7 linked regions of the Oryctolagus cuniculus genome follow. The protein of the gene in region 1 interacts with the protein of each later gene in a pairwise test. Links are inferred from orthologs where the notes say so. Each region holds a gene or a part of one and is shown in the gene's direction. Other genes may lie near its edges.

What was found.
Region 2: the proteins of CCDC57 (region 1) and SFI1 interact in a two-hybrid assay, tested with the Homo sapiens proteins (2 studies listed by BioGRID). The two-hybrid records come from large-scale screens. The link is inferred for Oryctolagus cuniculus from reciprocal best matches to the Homo sapiens genes CCDC57 and SFI1.
Region 3: the proteins of CCDC57 (region 1) and tyrosine-protein phosphatase non-receptor type substrate 1 interact in a two-hybrid assay, tested with the Homo sapiens proteins (2 studies listed by BioGRID). The two-hybrid records come from large-scale screens. The link is inferred for Oryctolagus cuniculus from reciprocal best matches to the Homo sapiens genes CCDC57 and SIRPA.
Region 4: the proteins of CCDC57 (region 1) and PRAM1 interact in binary tests that used the Homo sapiens proteins (3 or more experiments, as listed by UniProt). The two-hybrid records come from large-scale screens. The link is inferred for Oryctolagus cuniculus from reciprocal best matches to the Homo sapiens genes CCDC57 and PRAM1.
Region 5: the proteins of CCDC57 (region 1) and PRPF31 interact in binary tests that used the Homo sapiens proteins (3 or more experiments, as listed by UniProt). The two-hybrid records come from large-scale screens. The link is inferred for Oryctolagus cuniculus from reciprocal best matches to the Homo sapiens genes CCDC57 and PRPF31.
Region 6: the proteins of CCDC57 (region 1) and TMEM100 interact in binary tests that used the Homo sapiens proteins (3 or more experiments, as listed by UniProt). The two-hybrid records come from large-scale screens. The link is inferred for Oryctolagus cuniculus from reciprocal best matches to the Homo sapiens genes CCDC57 and TMEM100.
Region 7: the proteins of CCDC57 (region 1) and TSGA10IP interact in binary tests that used the Homo sapiens proteins (3 or more experiments, as listed by UniProt). The two-hybrid records come from large-scale screens. The link is inferred for Oryctolagus cuniculus from reciprocal best matches to the Homo sapiens genes CCDC57 and TSGA10IP.

Annotation. Positions count from the first base shown.
Region 1 is NC_091448.1:791,103-795,315, forward strand, and holds the start of CCDC57 (coiled-coil domain-containing protein 57), read left to right. Parts: upstream 1-1,413; 5' UTR 1,414-1,510; coding exon 1,511-1,556; intron 1,557-1,594; exon of another isoform or gene 1,595-1,916; intron 1,917-4,213. UniProt on the Homo sapiens protein: Pleiotropic regulator of centriole duplication, mitosis, and ciliogenesis. Critical interface between centrosome and microtubule-mediated cellular processes. Centriole duplication protein required for recruitment of CEP63, CEP152, and PLK4 to the centrosome.
Region 2 is NC_091452.1:24,698,068-24,701,567, forward strand, and holds part of SFI1 (protein SFI1 homolog), read left to right. Parts: intron 1-114; coding exon 115-191; intron 192-953; coding exon 954-1,056; intron 1,057-3,452; coding exon 3,453-3,500. UniProt on the Homo sapiens protein: Plays a role in the dynamic structure of centrosome-associated contractile fibers via its interaction with CETN2.
Region 3 is NC_091442.1:27,586,426-27,590,618, forward strand, and holds the start of tyrosine-protein phosphatase non-receptor type substrate 1, read left to right. Parts: upstream 1-1,393; 5' UTR 1,394-1,725; intron 1,726-2,130; exon of another isoform or gene 2,131-2,670; 5' UTR 2,671-2,679; coding exon 2,680-2,758; intron 2,759-4,193. UniProt on the Homo sapiens protein: Immunoglobulin-like cell surface receptor for CD47. Acts as docking protein and induces translocation of PTPN6, PTPN11 and other binding partners from the cytosol to the plasma membrane.
Region 4 is NW_027208201.1:4,532,389-4,536,430, reverse strand, and holds the start of PRAM1 (PML-RARA-regulated adapter molecule 1), read left to right. Parts: upstream 1-1,242; 5' UTR 1,243-3,869; coding exon 3,870-3,872; intron 3,873-4,042. Other genes in the region: ZNF414 (zinc finger protein 414), read left to right, coding at 1-95, 179-229, 669-839, 941-1,014. UniProt on the Homo sapiens protein: May be involved in myeloid differentiation. May be involved in integrin signaling in neutrophils. Binds to PtdIns(4)P.
Region 5 is NC_091449.1:4,557,696-4,561,195, reverse strand, and holds part of PRPF31 (U4/U6 small nuclear ribonucleoprotein Prp31), read left to right. Parts: intron 1-1,069; coding exon 1,070-1,159; intron 1,160-2,018; coding exon 2,019-2,146; intron 2,147-2,232; coding exon 2,233-2,305; intron 2,306-2,608; coding exon 2,609-2,737; intron 2,738-2,817; coding exon 2,818-2,916; intron 2,917-3,500. UniProt on the Homo sapiens protein: Involved in pre-mRNA splicing as component of the spliceosome. Required for the assembly of the U4/U5/U6 tri-snRNP complex, one of the building blocks of the spliceosome.
Region 6 is NC_091448.1:31,403,550-31,407,792, reverse strand, and holds the start of TMEM100 (transmembrane protein 100), read left to right. Parts: upstream 1-1,443; 5' UTR 1,444-1,546; intron 1,547-3,419; exon of another isoform or gene 3,420-3,663; intron 3,664-3,686; exon of another isoform or gene 3,687-3,766; intron 3,767-4,100; exon of another isoform or gene 4,101-4,194; 5' UTR 4,195-4,243. UniProt on the Homo sapiens protein: Plays a role during embryonic arterial endothelium differentiation and vascular morphogenesis through the ACVRL1 receptor-dependent signaling pathway upon stimulation by bone morphogenetic proteins, such as GDF2/BMP9 and BMP10.
Region 7 is NC_091432.1:5,831,756-5,835,928, reverse strand, and holds the start of TSGA10IP (testis-specific protein 10-interacting protein), read left to right. Parts: upstream 1-1,373; 5' UTR 1,374-1,440; coding exon 1,441-1,569; intron 1,570-2,590; coding exon 2,591-2,727; intron 2,728-2,828; coding exon 2,829-3,517; intron 3,518-3,617; coding exon 3,618-3,765; intron 3,766-4,173.

The DNA of each region.
Region 1 (4,213 bases):
CCCTGGACTTCCGCTGCTCTGCTCGGCCTGCGCAGCCAGCACTGGGGGCCGCCGTCCAGGCTGACGCGGGTTGAGAGACATCAGAACTGGACCTCACTGGGAACAGGGTGGTTGCAGATGGGACTGGCAGGGGTGAGGTGGCACTGGAGCAGCAGGGAGGAGGCTGTGGGGAGCACGGCCCTGTGGGCACCGCCGCCCATCCATGCCCAGAGGGACAGGCCTGCTGGGAAGCAGCCCCGAGACCCCGCACCGGAGTCCTGCTGATGCCGGATTGACGCCGGGAGCCTCCAGCGGGGAGGGAGGTGCAGGGGGCGCCAGGTGGGGCCAGGAGGGGCGCAGGGGGCATGGCCCTGCACACAGCCCCCCTACGGGGCTTGTGCGATTCCCCAGCCTCAGACCTGCCCTGGCGTTGTCCCCTGAGGTTCCCGGAGTGACTGTGGCTGCAGCCCAGGGCGGTGCCGTCGTCAGCCACGCGCCTGGCGCCTGAATAACAGCTCTTTTCTCTCCCGTTGCCCGAGGCCAGGGTGCCGGCAGGCTGGCTCCTCCTCTCCTGCCCCGTCCTCGCCGGCCTCGCCTCTGCACATGCCGCCTCCCAAGAGGACGTCTGCCCTAACGGAGCAGGGACCTCGTCTGCACACGCGGTCGAGTTCGCGGCTTGGGGAACAGGGTCAGACCCGACATGGGGTCTGTGCACCCCGCTGTGGGTGCCAGGATGCAAAACTAGCAGCCCCGAGCCCCTCCGCCGGCGCCCAGCACGGGCTGCTCCCCTCAACCTCCCTGGCCAGGCCTGGAGCAGGTCCAGGGGCCACTCAAACCCAGCCCTGCCCTGTGCTGCGAGGACAGGGAACCTCCAGGCCAGGGCCAGGCCTGTGTCCTCAGAGACCGAGAGCCCTGAGGAGGACGGGCCAGGAGCTGGGCGGCTGCGGGCAGAAGCCCCGGGTGCGACTCCAGGGATGGGTGTGTGTGTGCGTGTGTGTGCAGAGGAGCAGGGGCTGCGGACCCCCACCTGAAGCCTGACAGGGGCGTGGCCCAGGCGGGGTCCCGGTACTGTCCACAGGCCCCAGTGCGGCAGCGCTGGCCGAGGCGTGCCCATCTGACGCCGGCAGAAGCCGGGGTGCCCGACGGGGCAGGCGGGCCTGGGCTGGTCCCCGCAGTCTCGCCAGGGACCCAGCCCGGCGCCAGCCCCGGCACGAAACGCAGCCTGGACGTGCGGGCGCAGACCTACTGGGTGCCTTGGGGACCATGGCCCTGCTAGGGGAGAGCCCCGTCGCCTCCGGTGCGTGAGGACGCGTGTCTGGGGGCGGAGTGGGCCTCAGGCCCGCCCTGGACCCCCGCGGGCAATCGCGCGCTCGGGGAACGCCCACCCCCACGGACCCCCTCGGCGCCTGCGCACAGGAGGGGCGGAGGCGGGAAGAGGCCGGAACGCGGCGCCCGGGCTCCCGTTTCCGGCCGGCGGGACCCCAGAGGCGCACCGAGGGCGCCCGGACCGCGGGCGGCGGACTCGGTCGCTATGGCAACGCGGCGGGGCTGGGCGTCGCCCGGGGCCGGCGTTCCCGGTGAGGCGCGGGCGGTGGTCGCGGGGCGGCGCCGCGGGTGGGGGGCGCGGGCGCCGCGGAGGCCTGTGGGCGCCCGCGCTGCGGGTCCTGAGGGCTGCTGGCCGGCGGGCGGGGTCGGGTCGGACCCAGGCGGTGCGGCGGACCCAGGCGGTGCGGCCCAGTGTGGGGCTGACAGGGGAGCGGCGGGGGCGCTGCGGCCCCCGCTGCCGTCTGCTCGGATCCCCCCGGTGCCCGCCCACCTGTTCGCGCCGGAGCGCCGCGCTCTCCTCGCCCCGGCCTCGGCCCCTCGGTGGAATCCCCGCCCCAGGGCGTGTCCGACGTCTGTCCCGGTTCCGCTCAAGTCGGGCCGTTGTGTCTAGGGTTGGTAAATATTTGAAAGGCAGAGGTGCAGGGGGTGGGGGAGGGAGGGAGAGAGAGGGGGGATGGGGGAGAGAGCGAGAGCGCGCGAGAGCGAGAGCGCGCTTCCATCGGCTGGGTCACTCCCCAGATGTCCCCAGCGGGGGCTGGGCCAGGCCGAAGCCGGGAACCTGGACCCCGTGCGGGTCTGCACACGGGGGCGGGGCCGGGAACCTGGGCGCCCTCGCTGCCCTCCCGGCACGCGCGGGGAGCTGGATCGGAGGTGGCGCAGCGGGGCTGGGACCGGGCCCCCAGGTACCCCGGGGACACCCGCGGCTTGAGCCCGGGTCACGTGTGTCCCTCTGGGACTTCGTGGGAGACGCTTAGACTGTGCAGGTGTTCTCGCGTCACCGCGGAGTCCTTGCTCCCAGCCCTGCGCCCCTGCCTCGCTTTCCTGCGGGCTCATTGACCATCCAGCTGTGTGCCTACGGCGCTCACCCTGAGCCCGTGCGAGCCCGCGCGTGTGCTGTGCAGGCCTGCTGCCCGCTGGCCCAGCGAGGCCTGTCCGCCGTGTTCCGGTGGGAGGCACTGCGAGAGCCTCCGACCTCGGCCTGGTTTCTGTTTATCTTCCGGTGTGCAGCCAGGGATTTCCCAGAGGCGCTCTAGTGGTTGTTATGGTGGCCTCGCTGGTCTCCGTCTGGTTTGGTTTTGGCACACGGAGCATCTGTGTGGGTCCAAAAGTGGCCGAGTCTGAGCGCGAAGCTCCGTGACCATGGCTTCTCCTGCATTTGATTCCCCACGTTCTAACCTTTTGGCAGGGGTGGGGGATGTCGTTTCAGAGAAAATAACCCCTCCCCGTGGCGCCAGCGCGCACCTCCGTCCGCTGCCGCCTCCTGCCCCAGGTTTAGAAACCGTGTGGCCACTCTGACAGCAAAGGGAGGGAAAGGAGGCTTGGGCTCCAGGCCAGTAACTTGTCTCCTGGACCCACGTCCGCGCAGCCAGTGTTGAGCTCCAGAGCGCAGGGGTCACTGTGCCCTCCCGCACAGGGGGCGCGCCCCTGCACCGCCCGCAGGTCCCACAGGCCGAGGGTTTGCTGCAGCTGCGGGGCAGACGGGAGGCAGCACGCCCTGCCCGGAGCGGCTGGGCCGGTCACAGCGCTGGGGCGCATCTTACTGGTGGCTGAGCGGCAGGCCAGTGCGGCAGAGCTGCAGTGCCCCAGAGGAAGAGCTGGGCTGGCGGTGCCGCGGGGAAGCCGCCCGGGCTGCCTGCGTCCCACACCCGAGTGGGGTGCAGTCCTGTCCCCCACACCCAAGTGGGGGTGGAGTCCTGTCCCCCAACCCGAGTGGGGGTGGAGTCCTGCCTGCCACACCCGAGTGGGGGTGCAGTCCTGTCCCCCACACCCGAGTAGGGGTGGAGTCCTGCCTCCCACACCCGAGTGGGGGTGGAGTCCGGTCCCCCACGCCCGAGTGGGGTGCAGTCCTGTCCCCCACACCCGAGTGGGGGTGGAGTCCGGTCCCCCACACCCGAGTGGGGGTGCAGTCCTGTCCCCCAACCCGAGTGGGGTGGAGTCCTGTCCCCCAACCCGAGTGGGGGTGGAGTCCTGTCCCCCACGCCCGAGTGGGGGTGGAGTCCTGTCCCCCACGCCCGAGTGGGGGTGGAGTCCGGTCCCCCACGCCCGAGTGGGGGTGGAGTCCTGCCCCCCACACCCGAGTAGGGGTGGAGTCCTGTCCCCCACGCCCGAGTGGGGGTGGAGTCCTGTCCCCCACACCCGAGTGGGGGTGGAGTCCTGCCCCCCACACCCGAGTAGGGGTGGAGTCCGGTCCCCCACGCCCGAGTGGGGTGCAGTCCTGTCCCCCACGCCCGAGTGGAGGTGGAGTCCGGTCCCCCACACCCGAGTGGGGTGCAGTCCTGTCCCCCACGCCCGAGTGGAGGTGGAGTCCGGTCCCCCACACCCGAGTGGGGGTGGAGTCCTGTCCCCCAACCCGAGTGGGGTGGAGTCTGGTCCCCCACGCCCGAGTGGGGGTGGAGTCTGGTCCCCCACGCCCGAGTGGGGGTGGAGTCCTGTCCCCCAACCCGAGTGGGGGTGGGGTCCTGCCTTCGTTTCCGTCCAGCCTCTTGCTGACGTGCTTCCTGGAGGCAGCCAGTGATGGTTCAAGTCCTCGGGTTCCGGGTTCCTGCCTCCCTTGTGGGAAACCTGGGTAGAGTTTTTGGCTCCCGGCTTCTGCTGTCTCAGCCCTGGCTGGTGCAGCCATCTGGAGAGTGAACCAGTGCACGGAAGCTCTTTCTCTTTCCCTGTCACTCTGCTTTTCAGCTAAGTAAAA
Region 2 (3,500 bases), on another chromosome or scaffold:
ATGCTCTGGGCATGGCGTTTCCTATTGTAACCATACCACTGAGGCAAGGAGAAGGCTGGAGCAAGGAGCAGGCTGGGCCCAGAGGCGGCCCCCAGCCCTCCTTGTCCGCCACAGACTTACCAGGACCAGGTGCGGAGCATCCTGCAGGAGGTGACAGCCAGGGAGAGGCGGCACCACAGGCAGCTGCTGCGGTGAGTCTCCCGAGCCTGCCCAGGGCTCAGGCTGAGGAATGAACGGGCCTGGCCACAGCAAGCCCTGGTCTGCTGGCTGCAGAGTGAGGCTTTAGAAAGCAGCTCCCCTAAAGCCTGCGAGGCTGCTTGCCTGGCCTGCTCCACCCCGCAGAGATCACGGGCCACCTGCGTCTCCCTGGGGAGGGCACTCAGGCAGCCTCGTGCAGCTTCCCCAAAGCCCATCCTCCAGTTCTAAGCTCTGGACGTGCTCCTTCACAGTGGGCCTTGCTCCTGCCTCTCTTTGTTTTCCTTCTTTCATGTTGGTTCAGCACGTGCTGTTCCAGGCAGCCTGAAGGCGGTGGGCCTCTTAGCTTTAAACACATCCATACTTCCTTTGGGCCCCTCCAAGCAGCTGTCCAGCACTTCAGACAGCAGGAGGAGAGGGGCTCCCTGAGCTCGCTCTGGCTCGCACACATGCACGCACGCACGCACACACGCCCTTCCTCCAGCTTCCCTGGCCCCCGAACTTCTCTCATCATCGCAGTGTGAGTCACCTATGATGACATCATCTGGTTCTGGCCCCACAGAAATTCCTGAGGACAGGGAGCAGTGCCCAGCACTGAGCAGGTGCTCTCCAAATGCACCATGGGTGGCCACACTGTGAGCCTGGTGTCAGTGTGACCGGTCCCCCGAGGCAGAGAGCCCCAGCCCAGGAGAACGGGGAGGAGGAATGACTCCTGAGGGTCCCCCTGTTTCTCCCTGCTGAGGCCTGTGCACCTGCAGGTGGGTGTTACGCCACTGGAGACAGAACACCGTGGCCTGTGTGGATGAAGCCAGGAAAACTTCCCAAGCATCTGCTCACTACAGAAGGACCCTCTGTTCCAAGGTGAGGTTAAGGGCAAAGCTGCTCACCCTGGGGGTATGGCGACTATTTCCTGGCAAGAGTTGGGGGTGGTGCCAGACATTCAGACAGAACAAGGGGCCCAAAGCATGAGGAATTCCACATGTGTAGAAAGTACTGGTTCTGATAAGAATTCGTTCAGGGGCAGGCATTGAGATGCCTGTGTCCTGTATTGGAGGCATGGGGTCCAGACTTCTTTTTTTTCTTTTTTTAAATATTTATTTATTTGAGAGGCAGAGTTAGAGATGGAGAGAGGAGAGACAGAGAGATCTTCAATCCACTGGTTCACTCCCCAAATGGCTGCTATAGCCAGAGCTGGGCTGATCAGGAGCCAGGAGCTTCCTCTGGGCCTTCTTTGCAGGTGCAGAGGCCCAAGCACTTGGGCCATCTTCCAGTGCTTTCCCAGGCCACAGCAGGGAGCTGGATTGAAAGTGGAGCAGCCGAGACTTGAACCTATACCCATGTAGGATGCCAGCACTGCAGGTAGAGGCTTAACCTACTGTGCTGCAGCGCCGGCCCCATGAGTTCAAGTTTTGACTCATCTCATGATTGTAGCTTCCTGCTAATGCACCCTGGAAGCCAGTGATGGTGGCCTAAGTGCTTGGGTCCCTGCCACCCACGTGGGAGACGTGGACTGTGTTCCTGTCACCCGGCTTTTGATCTGGCTTAGCCCCAGGGACTGTGAACATTTTGGAGGGGAGGGGTTGAACCTTCAGATGGGAGTGTTCTCTCTCTCTCTCTGTCTCTCTCTCTGTGTCTCTCACAAGTAAAATTAAAGTTTTTTTTTTAAGTATCACTGCTTTTTAAAAAAGGATGTCATGTTTTTACTGAATTACAAATCCATATCTGCTGAAACAAGAACACGGCACACAGTCAATAAACTGCTTCTTACTTGAGCCAGTACTTTCTGCACATGGGGACAAACTGTGAACCGCTGAGCTCTAGTCTCCTTTCCCTCCTCCTCCTCCATCAAAAGACGATGCTGGGACAGGCTCTGGGCCACAGAGGCTTTCTGGGTAGCACGCAGTGTCCAGGGGGTAGGTGCTTGGTCATCTTCAGTGGGAGGAGACCCCAGATCACCACCTTGTTCCACTGGAGTAGAAGCAAGGAGATGCCATGTGGTAGCACTGGTGCCCAGGGGGTGGGGAGGGCTGGCAGGAGGTGGCCGTGGGAGGAAAATGATGGACCACAAAGAGCGCCTTCAGACAGAAACAAATGACAGAGCACAGAGTAGTCCCTGAGCCCGAGCATTTAGAAAATTTAAAACATTTTATTTATTTTCGTTTTATTTGAAAGGCAGAGAGAGAGACACAGAGATCGTTCATCTGCTGGTTTACTCCCCAAATGCCCACAACAGCCAATTCTGGGCCTGGTCAAAGCCGGGAGCTAGGAACTCCATTTGGGTGGCAAGGACCCAAGTGCCTCCAGGGTGCAATTAGTAATAAGCTGGAGTTGGCAACAGAGCCAGGACTTGAACCCAGGCGTTCTCAGGCGGGATGTTAACTACTGCGCCAAACCCCTGCCCGTGTATTTCTTCACCTCTCTTTTTAGCTAGCAGAGACAGAGCTCCCATCCGCTGGCTCGCTCCCTCAATGTCCACAGTGGCAAGGACTGGGCCAGGCAGAAGCCAGGCACTCAGGTCTCCCGTGTGGTGGCCGGAATCCAACAACTGCTGCTTCCCAGGGTGCACGTTAGCAGGAAGCTGCCAGCGAGCGCAGGGCAGGACTGGAACCCAGGTGCTGTCACATGGGGAGAGGGCGTCTGTGGCTTCACCACCAGGCCAGACCCTTCCCCCAGTCAGCCTCGTTAGGAGACGTGTGTGGGAGCCCTGGCTGCAAGGCAGGCGCTGGTCCTGACAGCTGCAGCCAAGGGGGAGGGAACAGTTGCATCTGGTCAAGGCCCCATCTGTTTTCAGACAGACTTGGAGGCCAGGCTGTGCACCCCCGCCCTGGTAAGGAGGAAGGAGAGCAGGAATCTTGGCTTAGCCTCAGGGCGTAGAGAGGGGGAGGCCGTGTAGGTGGGAAAGGAGTTCAGGGCTGTATGGAGTGGCCACAGGCCTCCCTGGCTGCCAACTTATTTTTTTTTAAGTGTTTTGCTACTGTGATTTTACTCTCTCATAGGAACAGGGCAGATACGTGCATGTTCTGTTTGCTAAATAACAGAATTATACCCATGTAATGACTTCTTCATTCCCTTCTGCCACAAGTCTCAGCGCCTGCGGTGCTGGGCTAGCTGTGGGGGGCCTGGGGCTGTGTCCTGTGGCTGTGTGGATCTCAGGCACCTCAGCCGCTCCTCCCCTCAGGAGCTGCGGTCGCGGGCCTGGGGGTCCCCAGAAGTCAGGACACGTTCCGATGACCCCTCAGTTCCTCGCCTGCCTGTAGGTCCTGATCCAGTGGCGGGAGGTGGCCTCTGTGCGGATTTACTACCGA
Region 3 (4,193 bases), on another chromosome or scaffold:
AGGGGCTGAACCTAAACACAGGTTCTTTACCTGGGCCATCAAGGCCCACCAGCGAGACCACCATCTACCACCCTTTATCGCCCAACCCCACGGAGCCAGCCTGGGTTGGGGGGCCTTTATCTGTGGTGTCCCTCAGTCTTCCTGGAATATCTCGTTGCGATTCAGCTCCCAGTTTCTTGGGGGCGGGGGGCTTACCTGGCGCCCCTTACCTAAATGAGCTCATCTCTTCTCACGCTCTGATCTCAATCTTCTGGTGTTCCTTAGTTATTTCTACTCGCCTACTTGTCCATCTCCCTTCTCGAATGGAAGTTCCCGGGCCGCAGGGGCCTGTGTGAGGGCTGCTGCTGTCATCTCCCACTCCCAAAGAAATGAACATTCCCTTGTACGGCCCAGTGGGGTCGCTGGGATGGTCGTCAAACGTGTTGGGCGTTTATCACGTGCTCGCGTCATGCTTGCTCGGGTGGCACCAGCATGTCCTTTCGTCTGAGCCTCGCTGTGGACTTTCTGGGTTCTCACTCGCGTGGGTTTCCCTCCTGATGATGAAGCTGGGGCACCCCAAGGATGAGGCCAGGGCTAGCTCCTGAGAGGTGGCCAGAGGCCTTCAACCCAGGGAGCCTGCCCCGTGGTCCCAACAACTGCACCTGTCTTCAATCAGGATCAGGATTTGACCAGCAGGCCAGACTGCGGGAGGGAGACCACTGCAAAGGTCTGGGCCTGAGAGCCTTGCTTCTACCCCAGGCCTTGCTGTGTAGCCTGCGGCAAGCATATGCCCTCTCTGGGCCTCAGCTCCCTCTGCTCTGTCCACACAGAGCCAGGCCTCCCTCCGAGACTTGGTTCATTCACTTCCTCGCCACTGCCCCCGTGTGAAAGGAAGCTGGCTGTGCCCAAGCTGATGGCCAGCTCAGAGACCCTCCAAATAGCAGAGGGCCTTGTGCTCCCTTCCAACCTGGTGCTGGCCCCCTTCCACCAGATGCCCTAGCAGCCTGGCCGGACCTGCACTCCCCAGGGCACGGGAGCTTTCTCCGCGGGAAAGAGGCTGCGTCTGCCCCCCCCCTCCCCCCACCATTCCCTGACTTTTCTGGAGCCCAGGCCTCCAGGTCCTCCCTGCCCGGGCCTTCCCCTCCCTGATTCTGCCCTCCTGGACCCAGAGCACCTGCTCAGAAGGAACCCACCTCCCGGGAAGGGGCCCGGACCGGCCCCCTCTCCCTTCCTGCCCCTCTCCTCCCTCTCCTGCGCCTCTCTTCCAGGCGGCACTGGAGTCCTTCCTACTCACACGCTATTTTTGTACCATCATCTCTCTCTCTCCTCTCCCCTTCCCCCTACCCTCACTTACTTCCTGCTTTTTCTCCACCTCGGCCGGGCTCCGAAAGACTCAGGTCCCCCGGCCCACCCCCACCCTCATCCCCAAGTGGGGTCTTCAGCTTTGGGGCACAGGGGCAGGGCCGCCTGGGCAGGGCGAGACCGCAAACACGTCCCCGGCCCCGCCACTGCCCCCTCCACCGCCGCCTGCAGTCTCTCGCCAGCGGGAAGCCGGGACCCACCGTGGCCGGAGTCCGGAGCAGGGGCGGGCGGTTGCAACTTCCCCAGTCCACCTTAAGAGGACCATGTAGCCAGCTCGCGGCGCAGACCTTAGGAAAACAAGTTTGCGCAAAGTGCAGCCCGGGCTCGGCCTCCGGGCAGCCTCCAGCTGCGCCTCCCGGCCTTCCAGCTCCGCGCGCGGCGGAGGTACAGGCTGGTGGGAGTGGGAGGCGCTCCGAGGCGGGCGCTCCGGGGCGGGGGGCGAGCGCGCGGGCTTCCCCCCTGGCCCGCATCGGCGGCTGCTCGTGCGGTCCCGAGCCCCGCGGGCTGCGCCGGGGGCTGCAGCCGTGCCCCGCGCGGGGGTGTTGGGGCCCCCTGCGCGGCGCGGCGCGGCGCGGGGGCCGCCGCTGCCTTCCCGGGCCGGGCTCGCGGCGCGCAGCCCTCGCTCCCTCCCCTGGGGCGCGCCGCTGGCGGGGGCGCGGGCGGGCGATCGCAGAGAAGGTGCCGGCGGGGCCGGAGCCCCGCAGCCTGGCGGGGCGGGAGGGAGGCGGGGAGCGCGGGCGGGAGGGGGCCGGGCTGCCGGGAGGGCGGGGGCAGCGGCCGGGACTGCGGGCCGGGAGCGAGCTAGCCGCCGGCGCCGCGAGGAGCCCGGGCGGGGCGGGTGGGCCGTGGCGGGGGCGGCCCCGCGCGGCGGGTTCGGCCGCTGCCCCGCGCCCTGCGCTCGCGTCCTCTCTCCCGCGCTGTCTGTCTCGCTCTGCGCCGCCCCGCGCGCTCTCCCTCGCTCGCTCGCTCGCTCGCTCGCTTTCTCCCCCTCTCGCGCCTCTCTCTGTCTCTGGCTCTCTGCCTGGCTCCCTTGGGTCTGCTTCTCGCTCCTGCCGCTCTCCCTGGCCGTTCCTGCCTTCGCTTCTGGCGCTCTCGGGGTCTCTGCCCCTCCCCGTCTGCCGAGCTTTCCTGGGGGGCGGAGGGGTGGCTCCTCCGAAAACCGTGGCGGCGCCGGGGGCTCCTAAGCCGCTCCGGGCGCCCGTTCCGGGGAAAGGGGGGGGAGCCCGGCCGGGCGGGGAGAGGAGGGGGGGGAGCCTTAGTCATTTCCCCGCTCCAGCCTGCGCCCGCCCGAGCGCGCACTCACGGCCGCTCTCCCTCCTCGCTCCGCAGCCGCGGCCCATGGAGCCCGCCGGCCCGGCCCCCGGCCGCCTCGGGCCGCTGCTCTGCCTGCTGCTCGCCGCGTCCTGCGCCGGGTCAGGTAAGCACTCCCCAGCTCCCCTCGGCTGCCTTCCGCGAACTGCGGGCTCAGGCCTCCCAGACTGCCGCTGGGAGCCACTCGGCTAAGATCGGGCATTACTAGGGGGAGAGATGCCTGTAACCCAGGGATACAGGTGCGGAAACTGAGGCCCAGAGAGGGCCAGCGACTTGCCCAAGGTCACACAGCCAAGGATGGACCCCAAGGATAGAGCTGTCCCCGGCAGCGTCCCTCTCTGTGGGCTGTGCCAGTGTGGCACAGCGCTGGGCACCGGGACACGGGGATGAGTTGGTTCACCCCAGCCCTGCCCAGCTGCTATGGGAGCAGGCATCCGGGGCTCCCCAGAAGACCCTCTCCCTCTGCATGTTTGACTTCAGGCTGGGAGAGAGGGGTGGGGGGCGAGGTTCCCGGTGCCGCCTGGAATGGAACAGAAACAGGCTGTTGCAATGGGGGAAGAGTGCGCTCTCCCTCTGGTGCTCAGAGTCAAGTGGTGTTTGTGTGTGCACGGGGAGGGAGGCCCGGGCGAGCTGCTGCCATCAACAGATCCCAGGGAAGACGCAGCCGACTGTCCCTGTGGTTGCCAGAGCTGCTGGCTGGCTGGTCTCCCCCCACCAAGCTGTCCCCCTCCCCCCTCCTTCCTTAGGAGGCTTCCAGGCAGCCTCCCTGCAGCGCAGGTGCTCCGAGGGGCTGTTACCTGTGGCTCTGAGCACGCCTTTTTGTTGGCCTACATCATACACCTGGCCGGCCCCCGCAGGCCAGCTCTGAAGGCTACTGTGTGTGTTCGCCAAGGGGTGAGGTCACCATTCAGAAGTCCTGCTTCTTAAAAGGGTTTCGCCAAACCGCGGGGCTCCTGGGAGGGTGTGGGATGGAGGGGCAAGGACTGGTGTTAAATTAACCAGGGCCGGGGCCCGGGAAGGGGGGAGAGGAGAAGGGGGATCTTGTTTTTCTGCCTCTCGGAGCTGGGATATAGGCAGAGGGGTCCTTGTACCTCCCACCCTTGAGGAGGGAGTTAAAGAGGAGCTCAGTGCCCACCCCCACCCCACTCTTGGCTTTGCTGGGAGATGGTAACCATCTGATAGCAGTGAGAAGGAGAACTAGCAAAGAGTGGGTGGAAGGAGAAGTGGGGGTGGACAGCGGGCCTACCCTGCAGTTTCCCATGAACTCAGAATCCACACGCTCCCCCCTGCCCCGCCCCCAGCCCATCCCAGCCTTTGCAGTTACACTTGGGCCCTTGTCTGGCAGAAGGAAGCCCTGATAAATTCCATGTCTCTCTGGTGAGTGACATCTCGGATCTGTTCCTTCCTGCCAGCGCCGGCCATTAGCACCCTGCAAAAGTCCAAGTTCCTGCCCTGCCAGCCTTCCTGGCTTGGAATCGCAGGAGTGGCTCTCACAAGGGCTTGATTTTTCCGGAAGCCAGGCACCGGGGGACACAAGTTCA
Region 4 (4,042 bases), on another chromosome or scaffold:
GCCCTTCGGCCTAAGCCCCCCACGCCTGCGCCCCTTCCTGGCTGCGGCGCCCGGGCCACCGGCCTCCAGCGCTGCCGTCTGGAAAAAGAGCCAAGGTGAGTGTCGGGGGCGCGGCCTCCTGCAGGGAGCGGCGGGCTGGACTCCCCCTGACTGGACCTGACCCGCCCCTTTATCGCAGGTGCTGGCGGCAGCCCCCGAAGACCCCAGGGCGGCTCCGATGCGCCCTCAGGTGCGTGCAGGTGACCACCAGGGAGGGTTGGCGGGGCTTTCCTTCCTGCGCCCTGCAGGGGCAGTGCAAACTGGCAGGCATCTGTGCCCGTCCCGTTCCCAGGTGGCTAAAAAATGCCACCCCGAAATACAGGATTTTGCCTTAAAAACCACTGGCACCTGCGCCTTCCTCTGCGCCGGCGTTCCCGTGTGAAACTCGCGCCCGCCCAATCACCGTGGAGCGCTCCTTTCCCCACCTGCGAGGGTTCGTGGGCGCAGGGGCCGCGGATAAGCCGAGTTTACGGCGGTGATGACGGGCGGGAGAAACGGATCCAGCTAGGCCTGGCCGCCTGCGCACGGGAGCTGATGGGGAAGCGAGGAAAAGTCCAAGCCGCCGCCCGCGTCCGCCGCCCCCGGGCTAGGGTCGCGGGACTGATAGGGTCCCGCCTGCCTGCCCGCAGGGCACGCGGCTCCGGGCCGCATCGTGTGGGAGCACACGCGCGGCCGCTACTCATGCATGCAGTGCGCCTTCTCCACGGCCTCGCGGTCTGCCATGACCCTGCACCTGGAGGACCACCGCCCTGGCGCCCCCGCGGCCCAGGCGTCCGGGCCGCGCCCCGACGCCTCAGCGGGTAAGGCCAGGGGACAGCGCCGCTGCAGAGGGCGGGGGGCACAGGGGTGAGGCGAAGCCGAGGCTCACGCGCTTCCTTCTCCCCTTTCCCCCCCACCCCAGACCCGGCCCCGCTTGCACCCAGTGCGTCGCCGCTGCTGTCAGAGGGGGAGCTGCCAGTCTTCTCGCCTCTTTGATCCGGGCTGAGATGGGGGGCGGGCGGCGGAGTTGAAGAGTTTTGTGATTTGAGGTGGGGGACAATAAAAGAGGCGCGATAAGCCAGCCTGTGCTGTGTCTGGGTCCCTTGCCCTCTAGTGCACACGGGGCCAAAGCCCAGCAGCCCAAGAGCTCCCCCCCCCCCATCAGCTCACGCCGGTCGCACAGAAACAGGGCCTGTCCCTCAGCCAAGCCATGTCGCATGTTCCCTGTCGCCTCTGTCCTGGGACCTGGGACCCAGGTCTCCAGTGCACTGCCACCCTATCCCTGGGTGGGGTCGAATTCTCAAGTTGTTGGGAGTGGGGAACCGGCATTTGGCAAAGCAGTGAAGTTCCCCACCTCCCTTGTAGGAGTGTCTGGGTCCCAGCTCTGCTGCTCACCGCAGCTCCCGGGAGGCAGTCCGAGCTCACCTGCTCGGGTCCCCACCACCCACAAGGGAGACCTAGATGGAGTTCCCCGTTCCTGGCTTCAGGAACTGCAGGCATTTGGGAAGTGCGAACCCCCAGATGGGGCATAGCTCTTCTCTCCCCCCCACTCGATCTCTCTGCCTTCCAAAGAAATTAATATTTTAACATTTCTGGGGCATCCGTGGGGGTGGGGGCTGTCTGCAGTGCTGGGGTCCCAGGCGACCCTCCTTGCTGCCTGGGCTCCCGCTTCATGGACGCCCGGTCTGAGTCCACCTCTACCCCATCCATTTTGAGAAGTCACACTGGGGTCATCCTGTTACCGCAACCCAGAGCGTCTTTCCCCTATGGCACTGCACCGGGTCAGGGCCTGGCTGCCCTGTCCTTACCCCTCCCCGCTCATGCCGGACCTCTGCCTGCTCCCCTGCAAGCCTGAATGCCCCCCGGTCCCCTGCAGTCCCGCGCCCCCCAACCCTCCCTCTGGACAAAGCTGTGACCTTTGTCAGAGAGGGGCTCCGAGAGCATCAGGACCCGAAGCAGAGTCCTCCTAAGTGGGGTTTGAGTTCCGCCCGGCAGGGGGCGCCCGGGAGTGTCTGAGGGGCGAACCCGTGAGTCTGGCGACCTGTCAGGCGCCCACCTGCGCAGGTGCAGAAGCAAGTGGGCCCGAGATCGGAGGCTCCCACTGACCACGGTGAGCCGCAGCAGGCGTTTTGGCCTGGGTTGAGGCACGGCCAGATGCCCGTGCAGCAGCCGGCAGTGCCCACACCAGCGGGTTACCCTGACCGCGGATCCTGGCCCGAGCACCCGCATCCCGGGCTCCCGACTTCTCGTGCTCAGCCCTCCCACGCCGCAGATTCCCACAGCGGCGCGCTGAGGACTCCCACTCCCCCAAGGCGGACCCTGGCCCAAGCTCAGTTCTTCCAGCTTCTGGTTCTGCGGCTCCGCGTAAAGGCACCAAAAACACAAAGGGGAATGTGGTGGACGCGCCCCCTGGCGGCTGGCGGCCGCCCCTGCAGACGGCGCAGGGCTCCATGCCTGCTTCCTGGGCATCCAAACTGCGCTGCTCTGTGCTGGGGGCGTCCACATGGATCCTGGGGAGTCAGCTGGCAGTCAGGCGTTTAGCCTGCCATCACTGAGCGCCTACTGTATGCTCCTGACCATTACCAGACCTCCTGAGAATCCAGTTCCCAGGGGAACCCACATCTGGGAACTGTGACCCAGCCACGGGCCCCCGAGTGGCTGTTTAGCTGCGCACTGCAATCTCCCAATGCGGTTTCTAACAACCCCGGTCCAGGCCCCGCCCCAGACCAGAAACTGGAAGTTCTGCTGTTTCCTAAGCTGCGCAGGCGATTTCCACGCATGACCACACAGGATCCAGGAGGGTGCTTTCCAGCCTTCCTCCCCGGGACAGGGCCCAGGTTCCTCCAGCCTCCCAGGGGCCGTCCTACCTTGCTTTCCTCCCAATTACTGCCTTCTGGATCCTTCCTTCTGCATTACCTTCCATCTCAGGGAACTTGGAATGTCCCTGCTCCCCCATGGGCGAGTTCTTGGACATCATGGCCCCGCCCCACCCCCAACACACACCCCTAAATCTGCGGTCCCCCAGCCGCCAGCCCAGCAAATCTGTCCCAAGAACAGGGAAGTTCTTGGCTTGCAAAGATGTGTTGAAAAGAGGAAGGTGTATTAGGCAAGACGAGCAGGCAGCTGAGGCCTCACCCATCATACAGGGACCATCCCCCTCCTCACTGGATGCCCCGACCCCTGGCCTTCCGGCCTCAGCTGGCCTGGGGGCAGCAAGTCCCCAGGAGCTCCCACTGGAAGCAAGGAGGCAGCAGAAAGACCAGGGACAGAACGTTCCAGTTGGCGGACATGCCAGTTACCCTGACCTGATCATCGCACATTGCACACGTGGATTGAGACACCACGTACTACCCCACAGATATGTGCAATCATGTGCCAATTAAAAATGTAAAACAGAATCGGGCATTTGGGCCCGCATCCCCCGTGGCAGTGCCTGGGTTCGAGTCCCAGCTCTGCTCCCAATTCCAGCTCCCTGCTAATGCACACCCTGGGAAGTACCTGGGTCTCTGCCACTCCCATGGGAGACCCGGATGGAGTTCCTGGCTCCTGGCTTTGGCCTGGCTGTTGCTTGCATTTGGAGAGTGAACAGGTGAATGAAAGATCCCTGTCTCTCTGTCATTCTGCTTTTAAAGTAAAAATGAAAATAAAGAGGACTGTGATATGAATGTGCTGATTCCATGCACTGAGCAAGGAGGTCAGGGTGGCTGGGGACAGGCCGGGCGGGGCCGTCTCCGCCTCCTTTCCTTCTTCCTCTGCCCTCCCCACCTTGTGTGCTGGCCTGGGGAGCAGAAGCCACAGGCACTTCCTGAAGGCAGCAGCCTGGTGCCCCGGCCCATCACCAGCCTGCAGACATGGTGAGTCCCCCAGCCCCGGGGCAGAGGCTGGGGAGGAAGGGGCACAGCAGGTGGAAACTGGAGGCAGGGGTTCCAAGAGCAGAGACGCGAAGCGGGTGCTAGGGAAAGAGGTCGGGGGACACAGGAATAGTCGGGCGGGGAGCCCCCGAGACAGGAGCCCGGGCTGCGGC
Region 5 (3,500 bases), on another chromosome or scaffold:
AGCCGCTGCGGGACAGATGGCCTGGCTGTCCCCGGTGCTGGCTCCCGTCCCTCGTGTGGACGGCGTTTCCTGGCCGCGTGCCTCGCCCCGCCCATCACTGTCCTCCAGTCCGCAGGCAGCAGACGGGAACGGATCCCAGGGTGCCAGCAGGCCGCCCAGAATCCCAGGCCCTGGAGCCCGGGCGCTGCCCCCCACCACCTGCGCACTGCTGCCCAGAGCCAGGCCCTCCGCAGGCCACGCTGCTGCCCTGTGGCTGAGGGCCCCTCCCGCCCGTGCTGTTCCAGCTCAGTTCCTGCACAAGCCGAAGACACCACAGCATGGCCCGCTTGGTGGCCGGGAACCTCAGTGTCCACATGTTTTTTAGAAGGTTTTATTTATTTACTTGAGAGGCAGAGTTACAGTCAGAGAGATCTCTCAGCCACTGGTTCACTCCCCAAATGGCTGCCACGGCCAGAGCTGTGCCGATCCAGAGCTGGGAGCCAGGAGCTTCTTCCGGGTCTCCCACGTGGGTGCAGAGGCCCAAGGACTTGGGCCATCTTCCACCGCTTTCCTAGGCCATAGCAGAGAGCTGGATCGGAAGCGGAGCAGCTGGGACACGAACCAGACCCATACGGGATGCCGGCGCCACCGGCAGCCAGAGCCTTAGCCCACTACGCCACAGTGCGGCTGCAGGTTCCACGTCTGCCAAGTGGGGGCGCTGACTGCAGCAGCCTGGTGCTCGAGCATCTGATGAGGGTCCGTGTGCAGGGCGAACCTGCACAGCAGGGTTGAGAACAGGCTGCAGGTGCTCCCCCGGGAACCTCCGCGTCCTCCTCTGGGCTCCGCCCTCAGCCACAGCGACCCCAGCACACGGCTCCTCCGGCCCTGGCCTCCTTCCCACGATGGGAGGGGGCTGTTGGGAGCAGGGGCCGTGTGTGTGTGTGTGTGTGTGTGTGTGTTAGAGAGAGAGAGAGAGGTCCTCGTGTGTGTGTGTGTGTGTGTGTGAGTGAAGCCCCCTCGGGGAGGAGCAGCCCTGTCTCTGTCCATCTGTCCGGCTCACAGACTCCGCGTCCCCCTGCCGTTGCTCTAGGATCTGCGGCGGAAAGCAGCCCGGCTGGTGGCCGCCAAGTGCACGCTGGCAGCCCGCGTGGACAGTTTCCACGAGAGCACGGAGGGGAAGGTGAGGCTCGCTCTGGGGACCCAGCCCAGGAGCACTGCCCTGACGGGGCACACACACCCCTTCCCTGGCTCGGAGCTCCTGTCTGTCTCCAGAGCCAGCCAGGAGCCCCTGCAGACCCCCCCTCCGTCAGGGACCTCGTGACCCCAGGGCGCCCTCCCCACCCCACAACCCCAGCCACACCCCTCTTGCCTTGTGATGTCAGCCGTTCCGGGCCAGGACCTGGGCCCTGCTGGCTCTGTGCTCTCGGCAGCCGCACCTGCCGTCCTGGGCATTGCTGTGTGCCGGCTCCCAGCCCGGCAGTGTTCAGGTGCCCAGCCGCCACCCCTGCACACACGCACACAAAGCCCCGCCTCTGGGGCTCCCACTCCAGTAGGGGCTGGGGCAGCAGCCAGGTGACACTTGCCCCACAAATGCCAAGAAGAAGAACAGCATCTGGGGTGTGAGGGGTCGGCGGGAGGGCTTCTCTGGCCAGGAAGTTCTGCCCTGCACCCGAGTGCAGTCAGCGTCAAGTCCCAGGGCCCCTGGGGGAAGTTCCAGGTGGGACGGTCAGTGCAGGCGGCCTGAGGCTGGAGCCCCCCCAGCCCCCGGGGGGTGAGGCGGTGATGGGGCACCTTCTGTGCCCTCGGGAGGACCTGGCACCTTGGAGGTGCTGAACAGGGGCCTGCGGGACCTGAGGGCGGTGCCGGGAGAGCAGCAGGCATCGCGGGTGTGAGCTGGACGACCGGCCCACCCACTGTCCGGGGCTGAGAGCTTGGTCAAGCAGCAGCTTCAAAGGGCACCCAAGAGCCGCCAAGGCCGTCGGGTGCTGCGGGCTGATGGCCCGTGGTGCAGCCGCCCCCGCCTCCCTGTCCCCCCCCAGGTGGGCTACGAGCTGAAAGACGAGATAGAGCGCAAGTTCGACAAGTGGCAGGAGCCGCCCCCCGTGAAGCAGGTGAAGCCGCTGCCTGCGCCCCTCGATGGGCAGCGGAAGAAGCGAGGCGGCCGCAGGTGAGAGACCCGGGGGGCGCGGGCGGGGGCCTCCGAGAGGAAGAGGCCCGAGCTCTCTGCCCGCGCGTGACCCGCCGCCTTCCCAGGTACCGCAAGATGAAGGAGCGGCTGGGGCTCACGGAGATCCGGAAGCAGGCCAACCGCATGAGCTTCGGGGAGGTGGGCCCCGCCCCTCACCCAGGGCCCCCAGTCCTGCCCCGTCCCCGCCCCCCCCACCCAGGGCCCCTCTGGCTCTCCCCTTCCGCTGCCCACCCTCACCAGGCTCCCAGGACCCAGGCCTACCGGCCTCCCAGGCTCAGCCACACCCGCCCCCTGTGCTCTGAGCATCCTCTGGTCCTGCGGCTGGGCTCAGTGCCCCCAGTGCTGAGACCTGTGCTGCCCTCGCACCCTCTCCCCCCAAGCATGAGAGAGGGCGCTGTGTGCTGAGGGCCCCCACCTGACTGCGGGCACCCCCCCCCCCAGATCGAGGAGGATGCCTACCAGGAGGACCTGGGCTTCAGCCTGGGCCACCTGGGCAAGTCGGGCAGTGGGCGCGTGCGGCAGACGCAGGTGAACGAGGCTACCAAAGCCAGGATCTCCAAGACGCTGCAGGTATGGGCGGGGCCCAGGTGGGGGCGGGGTGAGGGACGGGGGCGGGGCTGCCCCTTCATCCCGTGCCCTCCCACCCACAGCGGACCCTGCAGAAGCAGAGCGTGGTGTACGGCGGGAAGTCCACCATCCGTGACCGCACCTCAGGCACAGCCTCCAGTGTGGCCTTCACGCCCCTGCAGGTACGGCTCGGGCCGCCCCCCACCAGGGCCTGCTGGGGGGGTGGGGGGCAGCCAAGCTCCTTCCCTTTCCCCGCGAGGCAGCGGCACGATGGGGTCCCCTCTCCCTGGCCATGTGGTCCCGGCACAGTAGGTGTGAGGAGGGTGTACAGACCAGCCCCAGACTGAGGCCTGGGGCTGCCCAGTTCCTGGTGCGGGCGACCGCCCCCTCTGGGGCTCCAGGCGGTCACGAGAAAGCTGCCAGGTGGGCTTGGGTTCCCACTTGGGTTCCGTCCGAGCCGCCACACCTGTCCGCGGCTCCGTGCAGTCACCACACGGCAGCGTGCCCCATGGTGATGGGTGACGTCCCCACGCTCCCTTGCCCAGCCAGGGAGTGTCCACTGGGCGCCCACCAAGTCCCAGGAGCGTCGGGCTCTGGGGAGGAGGTGAAGAGCAGAGGAGACAGCGCGGGTCGGTGGGACCGTGGGACACAGGCGCCCGGGCAGCGGGAGCAGGACCCAGAGGCCCTCGTGGGAAGAACCACCGCTGGGCGCGGCTTCGGCCGCAGCCCCCTGGGGCTCTGTTCCCGGGCGGGATGTCGCCTCTGT
Region 6 (4,243 bases), about 31 Mb from region 1:
TTTTAACTGTCTATATGATCTTCCATAACTACTCAGAACAAAATGGGTAAGACAGTGGGGATTGGGATGAGCATCTGAAATGGGTATGCTTTCCTTTCTGTAGCTCCCTGGATCTTACGAGGCTCTCAAACCAGGAAATGGACTAGCAAATAGTAAAATACATATCTACACCTAAGGCACACCCATTGCTTCTCTTGGTACTAGCATATCTTTGTTAATACCTCAAAGGAAAGTTCTTTGTGGGGGGAGGGGAGGAAGAGAGAGAGGGAAAGTGAGGGAGAAAGAGAGAGAGAAAGAATGCCATGACCTATTACCCAAAATGAGCACACATGCAAGATCACCTTCCAGAAACTCCCTGATTTCAGAATTTCCATGCAGACACACCCTTAAAAGAAGCATTAGAAAGGAGGAAAACTGGCCAGCTTCCCAAATCGCATGGAATCCAATTGGACTGGGTGATGACCCAGATCAAAGGTGTGCAGGGATTGGACAGAGTCCCGGGAGGAACTGGCATCTTCAAGGCTGCTGGCAGTGCGCCAAGGCAGGCACACCACGCAAAACCAAACTGAAAGTAAACATGAGCGAGCAAGTAATCAAACGCACATGCGGGCGCTCTTCGCCAAGCCACTGTGCTCCCAGAGGGGAGCTCCCCGGATCGCCAGCAGCGGGTATTCAACAGCAAAATCACCAAGTCCGTCTTCCCGACCTACAGCCCACCCTCTCCCCGGCTTCTCCTGAAGGGAAATGGGCCAAAGGGTCTCTTTGTCATGGTCCTCACCCCCCTCGCCGCTGACACTCCCCCTACTCCCTGCTCAGGTCACCTCAGAAGCTTTGTCACTCAGCTTGTCTCCAAGGCAAAGTGCGATTTTTCACATTTGGGGGTGGGAATTCTCCCTGGAACAGTGAGCACTCCTGGTCCTGCTTTGTGACAACTTTGGTGAAAGGCAGCCTCAGTTCCTCAGAGATGTGATTTTTCTAGTGCATCATCATCGCCCTGGCACCTTGGCATCCTCTGATCACCACTGATAAACCACCCTTCCCCCTAAAGCCAGGGAAAGGGTCTCCACCACAAATCCCATCTTCTTTGTACGCCTATTACTTGCACTTCATGGTGAAAGAGACTAATTTGTATTCAACTCTCAACCCCCCACACCCCTTGAGAACTGGAGAACTAAGATCTCAAACCTTATTTTCAGCAAGTTCATGGTATTATAAAAGGTTAGCGTCAGAATGCAGGCTTTGCCTAGGGAAAAGTTTGAAAATGAATACGTAAATATGGGTATAAAGAGAGAAAAAAACAAAGGAGGGCATCTTTTCGAACCTGGTATTCTTTAAAAAAAATGTAGGTCACTTTCTCACGGAGGAAAAGGGCAAAATTCGGCAGCTTTGGAAGGATTTCCTCTCAGTAAATTGTCTCCGGTCCCTTAATTGTGGTTAAGCTTTGTTGAGTACTTTGCTCACGGTCCCTAGCGCGGTGATTTGCATCCCCCTCGCTGAGTTGCTGTTTGGGCTGGCAGCTGTCTCAGTCCGCTGCTGGCTGGGGAAGGTAAGGATCTTTGCCTTGCTCTTTCAAAGTTCTGGGGGAGGACTCTTGACTGCCCACCGGGCTTTGTGATGGGCAGCTGCATATTTAATTCATGCATTCGAGGCTTTCAGAAAAGTCCTGAGAACTTAACGGAGTATCCTAAGCCATGTGCTTGCTTTCAAGAGAGCCCGGGAGCTTTCCTCTCCCTTCTGAAAAGAGAGGGCGTGCAGAAAGAAGGCTGGTTGTATCCCGAAGAAATTCTGCATTCGGGAGCAGATGTGCATGAAGCGATGCCCAGGGGCGTTTGGTTCCTATGGGCACAAAGTGGAAAGAGGAATAAACCTTCAAAAGGCACCAGGCACGGCTCGCTGGGGGGATTCTCCGCATTTCAGTGTGCAGTCAGTTAAAGCTGCAAGTGTCAGTGGTTAGGACAGGTTCCCAAGATTCTTCCGATGCTATTTCTGCTTTATCGCAAAGCTTTCCGGTCCTTTGAATTTACTGTCTACATAGAATGCAGAGATCTATGTGTGCATCCGATGCACACAGGGTGTGAACGAGAGCCGGGGTGAGCCGGACACCTGGAGCCTGAGCAGGCTGAGGCGAGCTTTGGTGTTAGAAGTCCAGGCTGACCTGCCCAGACCCCATGATCAGTGTGGCCAGGGGGCTCAGGGTTCACAGAGATGCCTCAGGCCACACTCTAGAAGTGCTGTTCAGACTTCTGGCTTTAGTAACAAAGCAGCATGATCTTGGACAGGATGAGGTGATGCTCAGAGCTTCTTTGGGCTTCTTTGGGGTAGAGGTGGGGGAGTGGCTTGCCCTGTGGAGTAGAGAGGACTTGTCCCCCAAGGCCACTGGGGAAGACTACTGCTTCTTTAAGGAGCTCCCAAGAGCTTCCTGTGGCACCCAATATCCCCATCTTCCAGGGGCGACTTTGGAAAGTTCTGAAATGCCCTGGTTCTAAATGTCCCTGATCTGTGTCTGGTTACTTGCCGCATTTTAAAAGTGTGAGGATTTAAAAGTGTGAGTGGTCACAGAGGCCTTCCAGGTGGTGAGCGTCCTCAGCAGGATGCCCCCTGCCCTTCTCCAGTTCTGCCAGGCTGCAGGAACTTTGCAACTTTGTTTTTTTGAAATGAAGAAACCCTCTATCTGGCTTCCATTCCAGGGAAAAAGGGCTCCAGCTGCCTCTTGTAAAAGTACCGGAGGCAGAGAAGGGTGCGTGGTTCTATAGCAGAGGTGTGATGTTTGAGAACACGCGATGGCTGTGCCAGGAGTTAGAGAAAAGTTAGGAAAGAAAAAACATCTCATCTAACGGTGAACTTGAAGATTCACCGTATTGCTGAAAAGGAGTTACGAACGCTTGTCCAGATTGAAAAATGAAGGGTGGATAATTTCTAACTGCAGAAATACAGGGACAAGCTTATAAAAATTTCCCAGTATTTTTCCCTAAAAAAAAGATAATCTGGAACTTTATGTATTTCAAGTACTTTTACATTTCCAGTAGTGTGTAAGAATTAACCTATAAATAAGGCCATGTATAGGGGGTGAGGAGTAAACTTTTAATTTTACAGCTTGAGAGTATGCTGGTCGGGTCCTGTATGTTTGAATATTTAAAATATCTTACACTTGAAAGGCAGCCAAGGAAAAAAGCAGCCTGTGCCTAGGTGGGGAGCTTGTTACAGACCTACTGAATGGACTCTACCTTTAACAAGCTCACCAAATGATTTCTATACCGCGGAAAGACTGGAGTTTCTCTTTCCCTGGGTGACTTTTCTCAGTTTACTTAAATTCTCTGAAAATCTGTCTCCTCATTTGTAAGTCAGCGACCACCACTGTTAATGTGTGACCTCCTGAATAACATGATGGCCATGGCAGCTGCTCCGTCAATGTTGACAGTGGTGGTGGTGATGATGATGATGAGACAGCATAAGTTAGTCACCTTCCAGCAAAAGTAGTAAGCTATTGTGTTTAAATCAGCATGACTGGTTTTCCTCCTTAATGACACAAATTAGTATTTCCCAACTTGGATTCTAAATGAATGAGCAGGAAATAGCAGGGTCCTAAGCTCTGGATGACAGCACACACAGGCAAATACGACACAGGAGGAAAACCTAGGGACACGGGTTCCTGCTGCTTTAGAGGTGAATTCAGCTGCCCGATGGTGTCACATTTGTTCCTGCTGCCCTGAAGTGTCTGTTCCCTGGGCTCTGTCCCTTCAGCTGGGTCGACCACGCTGACTATGAGGTTTTCTTCTGAAAACGCCTGATGGGCGGGAGGGAGATCTGGAGGTTGGCTGGGGAAAAAATGAGTAATTCCAAGCAGTCTGCCTTAGTAAACGCTGCAAGAGAAGGAAAAGTCAGTGCTGGCTCCTGTCTCTGGGGACCCTGTAGAAAATGATTCTGACTTATCATGTCACTGAGCAGAGTCGGGGCAAACCAAAACTCAGAATCTGCTAGCCAGGAAAAGAAGGAAGAGAGAGGAAAGGAAAAAAAACAACAACAACAAAAAAAAAAACCAGCAGGACAGGGAGGGGCAGACAAGGGGGAGGGAATAAAAAGAGAGGGAGGCAAAGGCAAGCGTTCTTCAGGAACCCAGGCAGCCCGAGAGAAGGAAGAGCTTCAGGATTCAAAGCCAAACCATACAGTGCAGTGGTGTATTATTCTTTCCCCCAGAGGACACTCCTGAGCTGTCATTTTATTGACAGTTGTGCTGGTCCAGCAG
Region 7 (4,173 bases), on another chromosome or scaffold:
AGAGCCCCCGTGGGTGACATTCGGCGGAGACAGACGGCAGGGGGCATGGCTGGCCCCGCAAAGAGCGGACTTGGTGCATCCGGGTGATGATCTTCGTCTGCAGCACAGCCAGGGCCAGTGAACGGGTGTCCCGCGGTGGATGTGGTGCAGGACGGAATGAGAGCAGTCGAGGGCGGCAGTGACCAGGGTCCCCTCTCACGGGGCCACGCCCTGGCTAATTAGTACTAGCAACTCTTTTTTTAAAGATTTGTTTTAGGGGTTGGCGCTGTGGCGCAGCAGGTTAACGCCCTGGCCTGCAGTGCCGGCATCCCATATGGACACCGGTTCAAGACCCTGCTGCTCCTCTTCCCATCCAGCTCTCTGCGATGGCCTGGGACAGCAGTAGAAGATGGCCCAAGTCCTTGGGTCCCTGCACCTGCATGGGAGACCTGGAGGAAGCTCCTGGCTCCTGGCTTCATCAGTGCAGCTCTACCGTTGCGGCCAATTGGGGAGTGAACCATCGGATGGAGGACCTCTCTCTCTCTCTCTCTGTAACTCTGACTTTCGAATAAATAAGTAAATCTTTAAAAATTTTTTGTTTTATTTATTTGAAAGGCAGAGGGACAGAGAGGTCTTCCATCCACTAGTCCACTCCCCAGATGCCCGCAACAGCTGGGCTTGAGCCAGGCTGAAGTCAGGAGCCAGGTCTCCCGTGTGGGTGGCAGGGGCCAAGTCCCGGAGCCATCGCGGCTGCCTCCAGCCGCAGACCAGCAGGGAGCTGGATTGGAGGTGGAGCTGGGACGGGAACCCAGCAGACGCTCAGGTGATGGGAGCGTCTCAGGCAACCTGCCAGCCCCCTGCGCCACAGCGCCTGGCCGCTGTCCTCACCGCCGTGCAGCCCGCTTTCCCAAGCCTCGCCCTGTGATCGCGCAGCAGACCTCTGAGCCGGGCCCACGGCCCAGGTGCAGGAGCAGCAGTCACAGAGCCTGCAAGGCCGCTCCCGGGGGGCGGCGCGGGGGCCTTGTGGGGGTTCACATCCCAGGGCTTTGCTCGGCACTGCCGAGAAGGCTGGGGTCAGATTTCGGGGCCGAAATTCCTCCCAAGGCCTCCTCCCTGCAGCCTGCCTGGGCCTCCAGAGTGACCCAGTCCTGGGGTCCCTTTTGCGGATGGACGGGGAAACACAGGCCGAGGCTACGGCAGGAGAGCCGCTCACACAGGGTCCGTGGCGGCGGCGGGCTGTGGCACTGGTCCTGTGGGCCTCCAGGCCTGGGTCGCTCCTCAGCGTCCAGCTGAACTGTCCCCTGGCTGGCCGTGGTCCTCACCTACCCTGGAGGACCCCTCCCTGAGGTCCCTTTAGCCAGAGCGCTTGAGACGGGCTGGGAGCGGTTGCCGTGGAGATGGCCGGAAGGACAGTTCCACGCTGTGGTGGACGTGGGGGTGGGGACGGGACAGGACACCAACATGCTCCACACCCACCCACAGCTGGCCAGGCCCTCACCCGGGAGACCGGGCCAGGACCCTCGGTCTCAGGCTCCAGGGACGGCCACGAGGCTGCTTGACCTTCTGTCCAGCATCCCCCAGGCAGAGCAGGTGAGGGGCCCCGTGGGGGGGGACTTCCAACTGCCCAGAGGCAGGCGGGCACTGGGCTCAGGGGCCAGGACTGGACTGAGGCCCCAGGGGAGGGGTATGAGGGGGTGGAGGAGGGGCACAGGGTGACTTCGGGGTGACGGTGTGATCCAGGGGACATGGACCCCGCAGGAGAGACAGGTTTCCGGGATCGGACGGGACGTCAGAAGAGCTGTCCACTCGTTACACTGCTTCATCTGACGAGGTCTTTATTGCTTATTTAGTGTTCATTCTCTCAGTTTGTTCACTGATTTTTCAGTTTTAACTGAGATGGAATAATTGGGCGTGTTTCTGGGGCACACCTGGGCATCGGCACACCCACCCCTTAAACGGTCCTCATCCCTCTGCCTTGGGGACTCGTGAACTCCTCCTGGCTGGGGACAGATGGCACGGGGCTGGGTCCCGGCTCCACGGCTTCCCAGCCATGTGTGCTCACGGTGAGACCTGGGTCCCGGGCGTGGTTAGATGCGTTCTGCGAGAAAGGCCCGAGCAGGTGGCAGGAGCCTCATCAATGGCAGCCGTTGCTATTTTTTTCAAAGATTTATTTTATTTATTTGAGAGACAGAGTGACAGAGAAAGGTAGAGACACAGAAAGAGGTCTCCCATCCACTGGTTCACTCCCCAGATGGCCACAGTGTTCAGAGCTGCGCCGATCTGAAGCCAGGAGCCAGGAGCTTCTTCCAGGTCTCCCACATGGGTGCAGGGGCCCAAAGACTTGAGTCATCGCCCACTGCTTTCCCATTAGCGGAGAGCTGGATGGGAAGAGGAGCAGCCGGGACATGAACTGGCGCTCCTATGGGATGCCGGCGCTGCAAGGCAGGGGTTTAACCCACTGCGCCCCAGCCCCAGCCATTGCTAGTTCAATAGGAAGACTTGAGAGTGGTGATGGGTCTCAGAGGGGCCCAGTCAGGGTGTGCAGGGGAGGAGAAGGACTCCAGGGATGTGTAGAGGTGGCCTCCCCTCTCCCCACCCCGTCTTGGTCCAGGGGAACCCCAGGAGCGGCGAGGGCGCCCCGGTTCGCAGCCTGCTGCAGAGGTCTCAGAGCGCGAGGCAGACGTCCAAGAAGGACCACAGGCCCCGGCGGAGGAGCAAGAAAGCCCAGAGCTGCGCGGAGGCCGAGGAGTAAGGGGCAGGGGCGGGCTGGAGGGGGGCTGGCGGGTGGGCGTGGCTCGGACCCGGACCCGACCCTGACCCGACCCCCGCCCCGCCCTCTCCCTCTTCAGTGTCTTCGCTGCTCCCCGGAAACCTTCCTTCCCCTTCCAGTGGGCCTGGGAGAGCTTCATTACAAGTGCCTCCGCGGGGTCCCAGCCCAGCGGCCCCTCGGCCCCCGGCCCCCACGCCCCGCCCTTCCCCCAGCTCAGGTCCCGGCGCGGGTCCGTGGCCAGCCTCCCGGACGCCCTGGGCTTCTGCCAGAAGATGGAGGTGCAAAGCCCTGAGAGGAGGCAGCAGCAGCTGGGGGCCTGGAGCCCCTCGCCTCAGGGCAGAGGGGAGAACCCAGGGCTGGAGGTGCCCAGCGAGCGTGCCCTCTGGCCGACGGGGAAGCCGGCAGGACCCGCGCTGGAGTGGGAGGGGGAGGCCATGGGCGCCGAGGAGGAGCCCGAGAGGGACCTGAGCCCCCGCCAGCTGCCCCAGCTGCCCCGCAAGGGGCTGCTCTCCGAGGAGGACCAGTGCTCAGAAATGACGGAGGAGGACGAGGACGAGGAGCTCGGGGCCCCCCACAGGAGGAGGGCCGGGCCCCTGACAAAGGGGCAGCACCCTGGGGACCCGCAGAGCTGGAGCCAGAGCCGCAGGAGCAGCCCCAGCTCCGGCCACCTCCCCGGGGCCCAGAGGAGGAGGCGGAAGGCCCGGGAGCTGGAGGGGCCCTGGGACCTGGAGATGCTGCGTAGGCAGCTGCAGCAGAACCTGGACTGCGGTGAGCGAGCGCGGGGCTGAGCCCTGGGGCTGGGCTGGGGCTGGGCTGGCCCCCGCGGGCCGGGACGAGGGTGGGCCCTGATCTGGCCCCACCGAACCAGGCCCCCAGAGGCAGCCCTGGAAAGCTCTCCAGACCCCCGTCCAGGCCTCTGACCGCAGCGGGAAGGCACACGTGCTGGGAGATGACGAGACGTTCCCGTCTGCCAGCCTCCCCAATCGCACCTTCCACAAGCGACAGGAGGCCACCAGGTGCGGAGAAAGAGCGGGGAGGGCGGGGAGCCGGCAGGAGCCAGCTCTCCGGGAGCCCCCGGCCGTCCTCCCCGCCTTCGCCTCTTCATTCCCACCCTGTGTCCACCAGTCTTTCTGACAACCCAACCACCGTCGGCCATCCGTCGGCCCGCCCACCCACTGATGGCATCCAGTCAGCCACTCCCTCACCCATCTCTCTGTGAACTGTTTGTCCACACAGGCCGCTTTGCCTCCATCCCCTGCCTCGTCTTCCCGCCCTCCTTAACCCATGCATCGTGTGATTCACGCAACACAGACTGAGCACGCGCTCACGGGCCTCGGGGTTTGGAGATGGACTCTGGGCACCCAGGGCCCGGGAGAGAGGGCTTTGGGCAGTTATGTCCGTTCGGTCGGGTAATTGCTCCGCGT